Mytilus edulis: one gene and its partner. The protein of the gene in region 1 purifies or fractionates together with the protein of each later gene. This does not show direct contact. Links are inferred from orthologs where the notes say so. Each region holds a gene or a part of one and is shown on either strand. Other genes may lie near its edges. The genes, in order: nephrocystin-1-like and nephrocystin-4-like.

Evidence for each region.
Region 2: the proteins of nephrocystin-1-like (region 1) and nephrocystin-4-like purify together in Homo sapiens (co-immunoprecipitation; 6 studies listed by BioGRID and IntAct, with this or other methods). This does not show direct contact. The link is inferred for Mytilus edulis from reciprocal best matches to the Homo sapiens genes NPHP1 and NPHP4.

The regions. Positions count from the first base shown.
Region 1 is NC_092346.1:5,439,686-5,447,683, forward strand, and holds the start of nephrocystin-1-like, read left to right. Parts: upstream 1-4,809; 5' UTR 4,810-4,886; coding exon 4,887-4,949; intron 4,950-6,309; coding exon 6,310-6,398; intron 6,399-7,484; coding exon 7,485-7,545; intron 7,546-7,953; coding exon 7,954-7,998. Other genes in the region: uncharacterized protein, read right to left, coding at 1,016-1,248, 1,637-2,153. UniProt on the Homo sapiens protein: Together with BCAR1 it may play a role in the control of epithelial cell polarity. Involved in the organization of apical junctions in kidney cells together with NPHP4 and RPGRIP1L/NPHP8. Does not seem to be strictly required for ciliogenesis.
Region 2 is NC_092356.1:67,724,011-67,732,406, forward strand, and holds the start of nephrocystin-4-like, read left to right. Parts: upstream 1-5,150; 5' UTR 5,151-6,623; coding exon 6,624-6,782; intron 6,783-8,396. UniProt on the Homo sapiens protein: Involved in the organization of apical junctions; the function is proposed to implicate a NPHP1-4-8 module. Does not seem to be strictly required for ciliogenesis. Required for building functional cilia.

The DNA of each region.
Region 1 (7,998 bases):
TTTCTTTGTCTGGCATACGTACTGGTGGGGGCATTTCTAGAGTTCGCATTTTCTCACAAGGAAGCTATTAAACCAAGAGTTCCAAATGGTGAAGTTGAAATCATCCCTTCGTTAATTTTATGGACGCCATCACGATTTGGTTGACCGTCATGGAATGTGTACTTGTACGTTGTCTAAGAATGTATGACATTTAATTTGTCATCAGAAGGAGCGGAGCCTCAGACAATGTTAAACGTGAAGCAGTCATCGATTTCATTTAGAGAAAGGAATGGCTACCCGAAACATTGGGATAGCCATTTACCATTTTGCAATGTCACTTGATTTGTCTTTATACTCTGTGCTCAGCCAATGTAAAAGTATTAACTTACCTGTAACTTACCTGTAAATCCAGTTAGGAAAAAATATAAAATCGGCGAAAATGAAAGAATGAAAATTTTCAAAATCGGCGCAAATGTCATACGCCCGATAAGTTAACTCAAATTAGAGAATGGAAACTTAAAATTCAACAGTTTTTCCATTTGTAAAGGGGCACCACTCTAGAATAGTCAAAGTGACTGACACCACCAAAATTTAAACTTGATCTGTATTTTGTAATAAAAAGCCAGCCCCGAGGTCAAGTTTCAAACCTTTTGGTTGAGGTGAACTACAGTTTGAGAATGGTAACCAAAAATTCTGCAATTTTTCCATTTGTAAAGGGGCATAACTTTAGAACAGTTAAAGTGACCCCACCAAAATTCAAACATGATCTATGGTTTGTGGTAATAAGGCCAAAAATAAATAATAGTTTGTTTCCCCAAACCCGACCCTAACAAGTCAGGTATGGGTAGGTAGGTAGGTAAAATATTTTATTTTTTTGGTAATTTAAAAAAAAAAATTGGTACTTCAATCTAAATAAGAAATTAAAAACCATCATTACACTGGTAGTTTTTTTTTAATTCAACGGTTTATCATTGAAGCTATCAGTTTCCTCATGTAACATATATTGAATAAAACTCTATGTATAATTTGAAATAATTTATTTTATTGGGTTTCTCTTGGGTGGTAGCTTTCCAATAACGACACAGTCTCTGCAAACTGGTAGAACAATACGATGTGTTTTAATGGCATCTTGGTTCTTTGTTGCCCCCACAGCTGCACAGAAGGCACAGATATCGGGCTGTGCCAGGGTAGAGGCATAATATGGAAATTCCACATGTGTATTACAGTCTATCTGTAGGCGCACATTCACCACTCCTTCAAGAGCATCACCTGAAAAAAGAACAAAAGAGATCTTTGATAAATAAAAAATAATATCCTAGATTACTTTGTACATATATATTGGGAATTTTCAATGAATAAAATACTGAGCCTTCTGTTTATTATATTATAAAATCTATCCAGGTTCAATGTCAGAGTGTGTACTACTAGAATGAAGTTTATTCGGTTCATTCAATTATGCAATTTTCCACTGAAAGGAGGACTTAAACATTGAAATCATATCAACCACTGAATAACTCAATGGAACATGCAAATAAGATACAAGAGTGCATGAACATTTTATTGTATGTTAAATGTGGAACTTTCATTCAATATTGGTTAACAAAATCATGCTAAGCCAGACCAAATATATGTTTTGGCGTTCATTCATTATGCATACCTGTAAACTTGTTAATGGCTTCTTTTCGCCTTGGAAGTTTGTTCACAGCCTGACTGGCCCTCATCATTTTGTCAAAGGTATTGACAACATTTGAGGAGGAGGCTTCTGTTTCTGTAGAAGTCTCATCAATGTCAATGCAAAATTTCAAAAACTTAAAGTTTTTATTAAAGTCTAGTGCCAGTTTCATGTCATCACTGTAGTGTGGACTAAATATTTCTGTGGAACCACTTTTTTCAGAAATGGATACACGGATGTGTTTTCTGTCAAGAGCATCCTCCTCCTCTTCAGTCAATTCTAAATCGTCTATTACGTCCTCACATATGTCTTCAAATATTTCCTTCGTCGAAAATCTCCGCAATACATTTGATACCAAGTCTTTCTTGAAGTTTCCAGCTGAATAAACGGCAACAGAAACTGACATAACGGCGTCCATGTTCTGACATTTAAAATATGAACAATCTAGAGAATATGGTAAAGACCCGAGACCACGTGGAAGAAGAAAGCCAAGTCGCGTCATCAAGGCGTTTTCAACTAAGCCGATTTGAAAGGCGCTTTGAAGAACAGCGTCACCTTCTTATGTCTTATGTATTGTACTCCTCCATTTTATAGGAGCACCGCACCACCACATGAATTTTGAGAAAAAAAAAATTTCTACACAAAATCGGCAATAAAATTATTCCGGTCGCGGCGATTTTTCTGGGTCGGTCGGGATTGGGGAAACAAACAATATTTTATTTTAGGCCTAAGCAATGTGTACAAGTTTCATAATATTTGGTGGAGGCAAACTAAAGTTAGAGAACTGAAACCAACTTTGGGATGTGCTGATGTTCATACAGACGTACAAGGGTAAAACTGCTACATGTACATTGTATGACGGAGGCATAAAAAGACAATTTAATGTATGTTTTAAATTTATATATTTTTTTTAATTTATATATTTAAAACAATTGATATTTAGATTTTTTAAGCTTAATTTGTTTTCTTGTCAATGATTTATATGAAGAAGAAGTCCCAAATAACAGTAGAAAATTCAATAAAAAAATTTAAAAAAATAAAAATGGGAATTTTCATTGTACTAATGAACTCATAATCGTTCAAACTTTTTTATGTCATGTTTTGAATTCCAACATCTGCGCAGAAATCTACAATGTACTTCCTTTTTCGGGTCTCGTTTGCATGAAATTTTGAGTAAAATATATATTTATCAGTCTAGTATAAAATAAGAAGGAACGCAATATCAATTTCATTTTTAATAATTCCTTGATATGAAAAAACGTTACCTAATGATAGTGTTTCTTTGTTTACATTGCATATGACGTCATAACTTAAATAACGTCACAACTAAAATCCCTAACGACAGAACCAAAATTGGAAACGTTACAGTATTTCCGTTTTGAAATTTATAAGATATGTTTTAATTAAAAAAAAAAAATTATACAGACTTCGTCCCCTTTCACAGGTAATGCCTGCCTCATATTACTTCTTATCGCTAAATTATTCTTCTTGTTGCTAATTTGATTCTTCTTGTCACTTCTTCTTGACAGGGATCTGGTTACTGCCATACTGGTAAAGTATTTTAAAGATTTGCTGACTTTGAAACATTTAAAAAATAACACCTATCTTATATTAGACAATATTAACACGGAAACTATTTATACACTACAAGGTTATATTATATCAATGTATTTATCCTGCTGATGGGTGCTGATGTAGAAATTAAAAATTGTTCATTTTGTAAGTTATATGGGAAAGGTCTGGCCAACATTTGCCTTCTATGCAATGAACTTGAAACGTAACCTAAGCGATATGCTTTTAAAGATTCGTTAACAGAAGTAAATATAAATTGTAAAGAATGAAAAACTTACATTTCGCATAACAATCCAAAATATTTTTTAGCTGATTATGCCGACGATTTTTGCCACTTCCTGTTTACACTTCTGCGCATGCGATGACGTAAATTTGACATTGAAGTGTGTATTTACAATCAAGATTGGTCACAAATCAATTAAGAAAATTACATATTCATTTTTGATTGATTGATTGATTGATTGATTGATTGAAGGAAAAAAAGATACTAAATATTTCTTAAAAAGTAAAAACACAAAAATACTGAACTCCGAGGAAAATTCAAAAAGAAAGTCCTTTATCAAATGGCAAAATCAAATGATAAATTACATCAAACAAATGTGATTATCAAGTTGAAAAAACACAAGTCTGCCTTCAATTTTAACACTGTTTTTTTTTTATTCAATAGAGATTACAATCAAACAATTTATCACCTCCCCCCTCCCCCCTCCAATACTAAGTGTAGGTTCTGCATAGATTTCAATGTACTTCTGTCTTCTCTGAAAATCTGAAACTGATTGTTCAAATGGTATATCAATCTAATTAAAATATTGATCTCTTATTACATTATTCTACATATGTAGTATTTATAACGTAATTAGAGATCAATATTTTAATTAGATTGAATGGTATGTGTGTTGCTAATACATTGAGTAAGAATGTCTCACATAATTAAAAAGGCTTAACTATAAATAGAGAATCTTTTTTTATTTGAAATTTTTATTCATTAATACGTCAATCCACTCATTTTAGACTACTATGATTTAGATTAGCTTCAGAAAGTGTCTACATAAAACATCAAGACAGCATAAATTCCCTACTGACATATTAGGATAGTTGTGAACCAACATGAACAGAAACCAAAGAGAATGCAAATTAGGCATATTTAAAGTTTGGAACAAACTAGACTAGTTGCAATACTGTATGACAATAGGTATAATTAAAGTAACAAAATGCACTGGTTGACTTACACTAGCATGATTTGAAAAATAATCATGAAACACCAACTTGACAGTAATTTTAATGAGTATAATTAAGATACAGTTGATTTTTGTGAAATCTAATTTAACTGAAAATAACTTCAATGGTATTTTTTAACTTGTAGTATTTTGTCCGGAAATTTAGTGCTACGCCAAATTTGGTTTTTATATTAAATTTTATATTAAAAATGATGCACAGTCGCAAAAATATTTAAATATAAAAATAGTACTTTTATTTAAAGCAAATACTATATTCATGTCTTTAAATAAATATATCTTACAAACATTTAGTATCTTTTTTTTTTAAGCTTCCATATAGGGAGTTTTTTTAAAATTATTCTACGGTGCACATCAGGGTTGTTTGTAAATGGAAGCTGTCAACAAATAATTTTTTGATTCCTCAGTAAAAGCACTTAAATTTGGCCATGGGGAAAGAGCTTGGACCCCTACAAAAGTTTCAGAAAGAAGCTGATACATATAAGAAAAAGGTATTGCAACTTCTGTGATGAAAGGTCGATGAACAAATTAAAGAATTCAGAACGTTTAGAAAAAAAAAAACATGTTAAAACATGACCAACTCTACCAAAACCAAACTTTTGCTTTTAGCAAAAATTAATGCGTATAGTAATGTCGTTTTTTTTCAATCAAGATATACAGACTTCATATGTTAAGATGGATACATTTTTTCCCTCAATTAAGATATTATAGCTTTCATGTCGATCCAGCCCCAAATCTTTAGTGACAACGTCGATCAGGCCCCACATCAATCTGGCCCCATATTCAGTCGATCGGGACCCAATTAAAAATATATTTATAACGAATTTTTATGCGGATGGATATAAATTGTAATTCTTAAATGTTATAAATGAATTTTATAAGAATGTAAAAGGTGAACAGTAAAATAAGTTGGCCGTTTACGAATATTTTCAATAGATGAGTATAAAACAACTATATTTATTATGTTTTCATTACAAATTTTCAAGATTATTGGGTATAATTTTAATAAAAACATATATAACAGAATTTAGTATAATCAGCAGCCATCAACATTAAACAGCAGTAATTAGCATTTTTTTCATTTGCAATTCTTTCATCCTGTGTAATAACAAATATATGTAGTTACATACACAAAGTTACAAGTCGATCCCCAACTGCCAATAAAAAGTAATGAATATTACTTGTTTTGTTTTTTTATCTTTGCAGAACTATTTTAAAGATTCTCAACTTTAAAACAATATTTTGATTGAATTAGTTGATCACAAGTGGCCTATTTAGTTCACAATCATTAGATAACGGTTGAATAAACAAACCATTTCATTTAACTATGCATTATGATGATATAAACCTTTAAAGGTTCTAAATAATTGAGTTTTCCTCTCAGTTCTATCGAATTGAAATAATTCATTGACTGGTTCTCCAATATTTATAGTTCACTTACCTGTTGTCATCAATCCTGGATAATTTTTACAAGTTCCATTTACATTGTATCCTGATTCAAATTTGTCGCCAAATCCTCTGAAGTCAATATAGATTATTCATTGTTTCATTATGGGGCTGGATGGACCGGATGTATACCTATATATATTCATTGCAAAATTGCTTGTCCATCAGGACTTGAACCCGGGACCTCTGTGTTATGAAGCAGTGTGTTAATCGACTTAGTTAAAGAGGTCTGCTCAAGCTTTTAACATTTCCATTAAATTCTATTTCCCACTTAAGGGCACTGTTCCTTTGCATTTTGAGTTATTTTTTGCTATACATGTTCTAATCCTTTGTGTTTCTATTGTGTTATTTACAAAATTAAATTATTATTTGTTGTATATACATTACTCAATTATGTATTTTTAGGTTGACAAACAAGCAAAGGATAGTACTAAAGCAGCAAACGACAAAAAAATAAAGACAGATGAAGAAAAACTAAAAGGCTTTTTTAAAGGGTATGTAATTAAAAACATTATGCAATAGTCCATTTGCAAATTTCTGATTTGATTCTGTTATTACACACTTTTTAAACAAATTACTTCCCTTTGTCAATTGTAGACTGGTTCCATACCGGACAAAATTGGCTTTTGCGAATGCAAACTATGATGAATTGAAAGTGATGTATCGGCGGTTTAACTATTTTTTTATAAAAATAATTTCTGATGTCAAAAGTATTTAGATTAAAAACACATTAATGTAATTATAAGATTTGAAAACCTTAAAGATTACTCACATTACGCACAGGTAAATTTGCTCGTTCTGCTCGCTCTCCATTACAAATGAAAATTAATGTCCCTCATAAGGGAGGCAACTGAAAGAGGGATCTCTAATTATAGGGTCAATTATGGGAATTGGCAAATAGCCTATATAGCTATTGTTAATTGACATATTATAGGAATGTCCTCATAGTCCAATACCACAATTGTTGTCCCTTGATTTTCGTTGTCCACGAATATAGTCCCTACTGTGGACAGTGTGTTACTTGCCAATTTTTTTTATACCCTTTCCAAATGTATTTCTCCATGTTTTATCCCTCGGGCAATAGCAAGTCGAGGGATAAAATGACACTGTCTAAAAATTTGGGTCATGAATTTTAAGGTAAAGTAGTGATTTGGTCCAGTTGAAAAAGGTTAATAATTAGTACTTTGGAAGCTGTCAAAAGATTTCAAGGCCCCCTTAACATAAAATTGTCCATATTTTGAGTTAGAGCCGATGAAGTTTTCTATTAATTTGATTTTATATGTCCCAAAAGTAGTACAACACACTGTAAAAATTTTATTGAGAAAGCACAGGTGGGATTTTTTTAATTTTCAGTATTGTCTAAAAGAAATGCACTACGAAATAATTGTGGTCTCAGACCGGTTAGTTGAGCTAGAATATCAGACATTCATTGTATTAAGAAAATTAAAGTACTTTTATGTACATGCTTACAAAATGTTTGATTAAATTGCAAGAAAAAATTGGGTATTTGAGTGACATGCTAACAATTAATGAAATGTTTAATTGTTGTAAAAATGTATCAATTCATTTCCTTTTTTCAGGTGTTATGATCTCAAAGCTCAAGTTGATGATTTACTGAAGCAGGCCAATGAACTTTCAGAGGTAACTTGATTGGCCAGTTTATTACTTTCTTCTCTTAAACCAATAGGCAAAGAATATTTATTACCGTACAAGAAGTGAAAAAATATCATTGTATAAAACTGTCCCCTGTTGTAACTAGTAGCTGGGATTATGTATGGGTTCCATCAACATCATACAAACTGTCAGATTTCAATGAAAAAGTTTTAAAGAGCAAAACTAGTTGATGTTATTGCTCTTGAACAAATAATGTATTTGACTGAGAAGGGGGCATTGGAATGCTGTTCATTTAACATTGTTTAAAATTGCCACTGATCGTCAAACAAGAAACAATCAATCTCTTTTATTTTGGTGTTACCGGTACAATGTTATTGTTATCATTGTTGATGTGATTTTGGCTTCTCTAGAAATAACTTTACTGCTTTTTTGTAGGAGAATGAGCCAAGCAAAATAAAAGATTTTGAAAAGAAGAAAACA
Region 2 (8,396 bases), on another chromosome or scaffold:
TAGAAGGATAGAATGTGTAGGTCAATGAAGAACACCTATTCCTTGATTGTAAAATTAACAAAACAACTTTGAGATATAAATCTATTTGAAAATTATTTACCTTCTCATTAAAATGTCTCTAACCCAAGAACAAAAAGTAAAAGAAATGCTTAACCTCTAAAACATGGATCATGTTTAAAATATCATATGACAATAAAAATATTATCAAATTTTGCTGTACTGAATATTTCTAATACTTATAAATATTTTATTCAATAAAGAAATAATGAATTGCCTAAATTTTATTTAGCATAAGTCCTAAAGACAATCTTAATCATATGTTAAGATCAGTCTATCTACAATAATAAACCATTTTGATTTTAGAAAATTAATTTGAGAAACATCTAGTCAATAGAAAAAGACAGGCATTGTAAATGTTTGCAGTATATTTGAAAATGAGATTCATTTATTCTTCACTACCAAAAAATAAACTTAATATAAAAAATAACTTAAATTGATCAAAAATTATTTAAAAGGTATAATATCAAAACTAATAGTCAGGAGACAATTATTTTTTAATTAAGCTGTTTGTTCAACTAGTTTTATTGTTTCATTTTATTTTTGAATTTCTTGTCATAATCACAGTTATTAAATTTGACAAACACATACATGTATATTTTACCTGAGACACCTGACCTGTAAGTTATATAATTTTAACACTTCAATGCATTCAAGATTTCCCTTTATCCTTGACTAGTTTTTGAGTAATACCTTGTGTATTAAAAAATCAACAGGGGGTAAGATGATGAACATATAGGGCCACCATGGTGAACATATTTTTTATGGCCACCATTAATAAGATAAAGTCACAGGTAGTACTGTATTAATGTAGTTATATGTGTAAAAAAAATGGCAGATTCCTATAAATGAGTAACAATGAATCCCTCTGCTCAATTGAGTAAGAACTTAGCCAAATGGAACAATTTTACACGTATATTGACTTTTACTGTAAAACATTCAAAACTCTTGCAATTAACATACATGTACAATGTACCATGACGTTTTTTTATTTGACCCTCATTTATCCAAGCATATTTCTTGAAATCTTTTTTTGCCTGGTGGTCCTTCCTCACTATCATTTCTAAATGCATATTGCCAAAATTGTGTTAGTCCTTCCCAAAAAAATGTGGTGGTAAAATCCCTAGGACCACCACTCATAGAGAACTCTGTACAAGTATTGAAAAGATATACATTTACATGTAAATGCATGTTTGATAATATACTCATTATACATGTTATACCTACATGTGTAATTGTACTTAAATGTTGCCCCTTTCTGCAACAGAAAGTGCTTTGTTTTGTTACAGTCAAGGGTAAAACATGTACTTTTACAAGTCATGTTTATTAAGTTAAACATGTAAAGTTTTGTAAGACAGCCAAAAGAATTTGCGTTATATATTGGTATCACATCGTCGTTGTCATCGTCTGAATACATTTGGTTTCAGGTCAATAACTTTTAATCCACCATTTTCTACATTTAAAAATGCCTGTACCACGTCAGGAATATGACAGTTGTTGTCTATTCCTTTGATTTGTTTTCTTTTTTTTTTAAAGGTAATAATATCTTTATTGCATATTTGCTGTAACAATTTACTAAGTTTACAGCTTGTAACTTAGTATCCCTCATGTTAGTTTACCTAATAGTTTAGGGAAGCACTATTTGGTAAGATATAACTTGTTCATAATATTAGTATCTATAGTACAATTGATTTCACAATTATGTAAAATAAATTGTCTAGTGTAGACAAATTGTGAATTGTGCACGCCAAAATGAATGACTTAACTTGTGTAATACATATACACGACGACATACAATAGATCATTAAAAACTTAAACAAAAATTGCATACTTACCAAATTTTATAAAATAAGTTAAATCCAGTTTATATAAGAATATTTAGACACAATCAATAATGCGATAACGCACGTGCTTGCTGAAACAACACTAACTATGCCCAATTTCTTTCAATGGAATACGGATCATTTGATGTGTTTTCTCATTTGATTTTGCCAATTTGATTACAGACTTTCCTTTTTGAATTTTCCTCAGGGTTCAGTTTTTTTGAGATTTTACTTTTATTGATCATGTTTATAGTACATGTATTAGTAAATAGAAAGATGAAATTTAAACACAATGTTTATGACCACAAAAGAAAGGTTGGTAACGATTTGGGGGTTATGGTCCTAACAGTTTAGTAATTAGGGGTCAAAAAGGGCATTTTTCTACTTTCCAGACAATAACTTGTGGAATGGTGTATGGATCGCTCTGAAATTATACCACAAGTTTCCATACCATAAAGGTATGGTAAGAATTGGCTTTGCAGGGTTATGGCTCAAACCATTTAGGAATTAAGGAAAAAAAGGGGGGAACAAGGGTGTCCTGGTTAATGGACAATTATTTAAGTTCAAAACATAATTTTAAAGCAATTAACAGAAGGTAATAGTCTATTTACCACTTCCTGTAATTGACCCTGTAATTAGAGATCCCTTTTTAAGCTTTCTCCCTTATGAGGGACAGTATATTTTATTTACAATGGAGAGCTAACAGAGAGAGCAAATTAACCGGTGCATAATGTGAGTTTTTAAAATCTGTTAATTAGATTTATCATTAATTTTGTTGTTAGGCTAAATACTTTTGACATCAGAAATTATTTTCCATGAAATATTAGTTAAACCACCTATACATCACTTTCAATTCATCATGGTTTGCATCACTTTCAATTCATCATGGTTTGCATTGGCAAAAGCCAATTTTGCGGTATAGAACCAGTCTACTATTGACAAAGGAAAGTAATTTGTTTAAAAAGTGTGTAATTACAGAACAAAATCGGTAATTGACAAATGGACTATTCAAACAACATTGACAATTACCTCCCTTACACTGCTTTTAAATTATGTATAAACATGATAAAGAAATGTTGTATTGTCTTGAGATGATTAGCTGTCTTATGTACTGTAATGATATTTTTGTCATTTTCCATTACAGAATGCATTAAGCTCTGTTAAAAACAGATCTTTTTCCCCCCAAAGACTCAATGTAAAAAAAACCACCATAAAATAAAAAGAGATAAATTCTTATCTACATGTACCTACCCTAACTTTTTCTCACACAAATATAGATAAATGTACTGACATGTATAAAATTCTATATATATACACTGTTAATCAACACACTATAAACCTTGTAAACAACTGAAGCAATGTGTTATTCCATAGATTGATTAATTATACGTTTTGATTTACAAACTCATGGGACCAAAATAGTCTTATCATGCATTCTTGTCATTAATAAATAATTTTTGTGGTTATTTAAAGGTCTCTTTCAAAATTTCATTCTAATTTTATGATGAGTTTTAAAAATAGCTTACAGATTGATTACGGTTAAAAACAGGAGGGACTCTAAATTATCCTGACTAAATGATCAGCAGATAAATATTGACTGTTTACCATGGTATTATCGGGAGACTTGGATCGTTTAAAAATCTTTAAATAGAACTTAAAAGTCATGACATTTAAAGTAAAGGTTAATAAATATCATCAATTTATTGTAATTAAAAAATCCTACATGTAGGTTTGAATAATCTTTAACTTGCATGTAATTATAAAGTATACAATTTTTTCAATCCTACATTTACATGTGTTAAGAACTGGAAAATAATATTACTGTGTGTTATACCTGATTTATTTGTACTTTACATGTGATGTTACAAAGGTTTATTCCCTATTGTCCCACTTTTTAAAATTTTAGAGTTCTGATTGTCCCACATTATTTTATGTAGTAAAATGTTCATAGATAAACAAGGTAACTGTTGTTTGTTTTGCTAAATAAACAAGAATTAATTATTGCACATTTAATATTAATTTTATAAAAGTATAAAAAATATGATTTTTAAATCATTAGATTGATACACTTTTGATTAAAAAAAATATAATATTTCTGATTTATGAAATAGATCTTTTAAGGTCTTGAATTAAACTTTTTTTCTGAACCTGATTTTTTGGGTTTATATATGACTCTAGAAAACTAATTGGTTACGAAAATCATATGGTGGTGCACTTATTTTTGCTATTTTTAGAACACAAATCTTATTATTTCAACTTCTTTGTTATAATTGATTGAAAAAATACACATTTGAGAAATTTGAAAGAATTTTTTTTATATGGGATGCACATGCTTCTGGTAAAATCATTTCTTGTACCCCCATCTATTTTCTCTAAATTTGCTGCTGTCTAGAATTTTTCCAGATCAGCCTTTCCAAGAATCACTATTAAAGGTTGTTTTTCCAATTTTCCCATTGTTTTTGCAGTCAAAAAGACTCTTCACCAATTATAAAGAAGAGCCAGACTTCCATAAGAAATAAGAAGATGCGGTATGATTGTCAATGAGACAACTCTCCCAAAGAGACCAAATGACACAGAAATTAACAACTATAGGTCACCATACGGCCTTCAACAACGAGCAAATCCCATATCACATAGCTTCAAAAGGCCCCAAAATGACTAATGTAAAACGAGAAAACTAATGGCAAAAGAATGAACGAAAAACAAATATGTTACACGGCAACAAACGACAACCACTGACTTACAGGCTCCTGGCTTGGGACATCACCACAACAAAGACACTAAGTACAGATCTAAGAGCACTCGCAGTACTGACTGCTAGTTCAAAGCCAATAAAAAATAATTAAAAAAAATATATATGCATCTTAGACTAAATTTTTTTAAATTTTTTAAAAGACTTCATATTATATTATATGATACTTCAATTGTACCTACTATGAGCAAAATAAAATATATAAATATTATTATTTGTTCTTATTTTGTTCATATTTTATAAGCTACATCGATAAGTAACCTTTGATTAACTGCAACACGCTATAAAAACAAATAAATCATTATAAAAACAGTTCCCAATTGTCCCACATCTAAACTTCCCAATTGTCCCACAAACATATTCCCGATTGTCCCACAAAATTTCATAACCTTTTTACCTGTAATTTCAAAAATAGGGACAATCGGGAAGACACCGTTACAAATGTAGATGGAAAATTTATCGTCATGTTTTTTTAATGAACCTCAATCATAAACACCTCTGTGTCTATGAAATGAAAATCGATAGTTAGATGATCAATGCATGTTGATGTGCTGTAACAATGAGATGATTTGTCTTCGACTTTGTCATTACGTGAAAGTTTATACTATTTATAGATCTATCACCTGTTATTGAATTCTTTATTGTGATTTAGCAGTACATATATAGTTTACATGTGGGATTGAGCTTATTGTGATAAATTTTCATCATTTTAACATCATCAAATTATTTTTTTTGAAGAGACTAACTTTAATAATTTGAGGAGCATATATACATATATCAAGAGGAATAATTTGTGTCATTTTTTGTGAATTTATAGATAATTGCATTTGAAGTTGTTAATGTTTTTCATTGAAGTACATATTTACAATATTGAATCAGCATTAAATTTTTTTTTAAATGTCAATTTGAATTTAAAAATATTTTGATCTAAATAGTTATGGTTAATTGATCAACTATAAATAATTAATATGTTTTAAATGATATTTAATAAGAAAGTTTACCTGCGAATATTTTTTTTTACTTTTCACCATCAATATCAATTGGTTAAAAGATTTTGCCGGTGAATGAATAGATATAAAAGCTTGTAAAAAAGCTATATTTACCTTTTGAAATTTAATTCCAAAGTGACTATACTATCATTACAAAACTAATTGTACTATTGTGATGATTTTGTGTAGAAACATCTGATTTGAAAAAAAACCAAAGAAAATCAATTATTGAAAGAAAAAAAAAATAATGCTGTAATTTGAAAACTTCAAATACTAGATAAAAAAAAATATAAGGATACATGCACTGAATTATTCAGACTATATTGATGGAATACATTCACTTGAAGTAAAAAATGAAATATAATAAACCCGACATCTTTGGTTTTGGATATTATCCAGAGCTGTAATATATGGCCATTCACTAGGAAAGTAAACGTTCATGTTGTAATAGTCTGAAGGTACATGTTATCATAAAATTTATGAGGTGAAAGGACAAGAAGTTTAAAATTTTTAATAACTAAGAGATTTTATTGGATACCTAATATGATACAAGTTTGTGGTTATATCGGATGTTTAGTTATTGAAAATTGTACTTCAAGTGAAAGTGACTTTCTGAATTATTGATTTCTGTAACTTGACAGATTTTACAGTATATATCTTATAAGCTTGATAAATATGATATTAGAAAGGTAAAAGATGTATGGAAATTCAGTAGACATGAATGATATTCTAACTGGCTGATAATGTGTCTGTTTGTGCAGGAAAATACATTATAGAGGATTTTGATTTAACATTGCATAGGAATTTACATATTTTCAACTGTTACGAGATATGAGTGTTTTAAGTAGATGTTTCCAAATTTGTTAACATTTAGCTATAGACTGGGTGGGACCAATATTATAAGTCTCAGATATAGGCACCATATTAAAGGACTTACATGTACATATGCATCGGATTACTGATTCTGGAGACGGATATTAATTCCATTGAATTCACTTGAATATGAAATACTTGACTTTACATAGAAGTTTACCACAGCGACATAACCTTCTGTGGAAACAACATGACCCCACGGTAGATAAACATGCAGACAGTGATAATATACCAATTGTTATATCATTTAAACAAATACAGGGATTAACTCACCCTTTTCAAGTTAAGGTAAGCTAAATTTACAAACTTTTGCAAGGGTGTTTATTATAAGATAGAAACTAAATTAGTCCGTTTGTTTTCTCGTTTGAATTGTTTTACATTGTCATTTCGGGGCCTTTTATAGCTGACTATGCGGTATAGGCTTAGTTGTTAATTTCTGAGTCATTTTGGTCTCTTGTGGAGAGTTGTCTCATTGGCGCGCACAATCATACCACATTTTCTTTTTGATATTTATTCATTGACTTTTTCTTTTAAATTGTGTGTGTTATAAAAGCTGTTTAAAATGGTTAGGTCAGCTATCACCCTAAATTATTATGTACATGTCTGTTAACATATATATGTTATGATAATTTTGAGTACATATGGATATAAGTATACAAATATGATTATGTAATTTTAAGTTATGAGCCTTGTTATTGTACTTAGATGTTACAACTCTCCCAGACAAAGTTGACCATACAATAATATAGCATTTAATGTTTTGTGTAGATCCTTCATGGTTGTGACTTCTCAATCATAATTCATATATTTGCAATGAACAAGTAGAGAAAATAGAGATAATGATAAATGGAAAAATTTCCAGTTATAAACTAATGAATTTATGTCACATAACTTCCATGAAGACACATTATCCTATTCAGAGTTTACTAATGTTTTCACTGAAGTTTTTGCTTCTTTTTGCAGGGATATAAATGATTAATTATTGTCCTGTTAAAAATATCCATAAGTTACTCATAAACTAGTCCTCTATTTATTCATTAGTGTTTTGTCATACATTTACCCATTAGGATATTGTCTAACCTTTACCCATAAGGATATTGTCTAACCTTTACCCATAAGGATATTGTCTAACCTTTACCCATAAGGATATTGTCTAACCTTTACCCATTAGGATATTGTCTAACCTTTACCCATTAGGATATTGTCTAACCTTTACCCATAAGGATATTGTCTAACCTTTACCCATTAGTTTATTGTTTCACATTTACCCATAAGGATATTGTCTAACCTTTACCCATTAGGATGTTGTCTAACCTTTACCCATAAGGATATTGTCTAACCTTTACCCATTAGGATAGTGTCTAACCTTTACCCATTAGGATATTGTCTAACCTTTACCCATTAGGATATTGTCTAACCTTTACCCATTAGGATATTGTCTAACCTTTACCCATAAGGATATTGTCTAACCTTTACCCATAAGGATATTGTCTAACCTTTACCCATAAGGATATTGTCTAACCTTTACCCATAAGGATATTGTCTAACCTTTACCCATTAGGATATTGTCTAACCTTTACCCATTAGGATATTGTCTAACCTTTACCCATAAGGATATTGTCTAACCTTTACCCATAAGGATATTGTCTAACCTTTACCCATAAGGATATTGTCTAACCTTTACCCATTAGGATATTGTCTAACCTTTACCCATTAGGATATTGTCTAACCTTTACCCATAAGGATATTGTCTAACCTTTACCCATTAGGATATTGTCTAACCTTTACCCATTAGGATATTGTCTAACCTTTACCCATAAGGATATTGTCTAACCTTTACCCATAAGGATATTGTCTAACCTTTACCCATAAGGATATTGTCTAACCTTTACCCATAAGGAT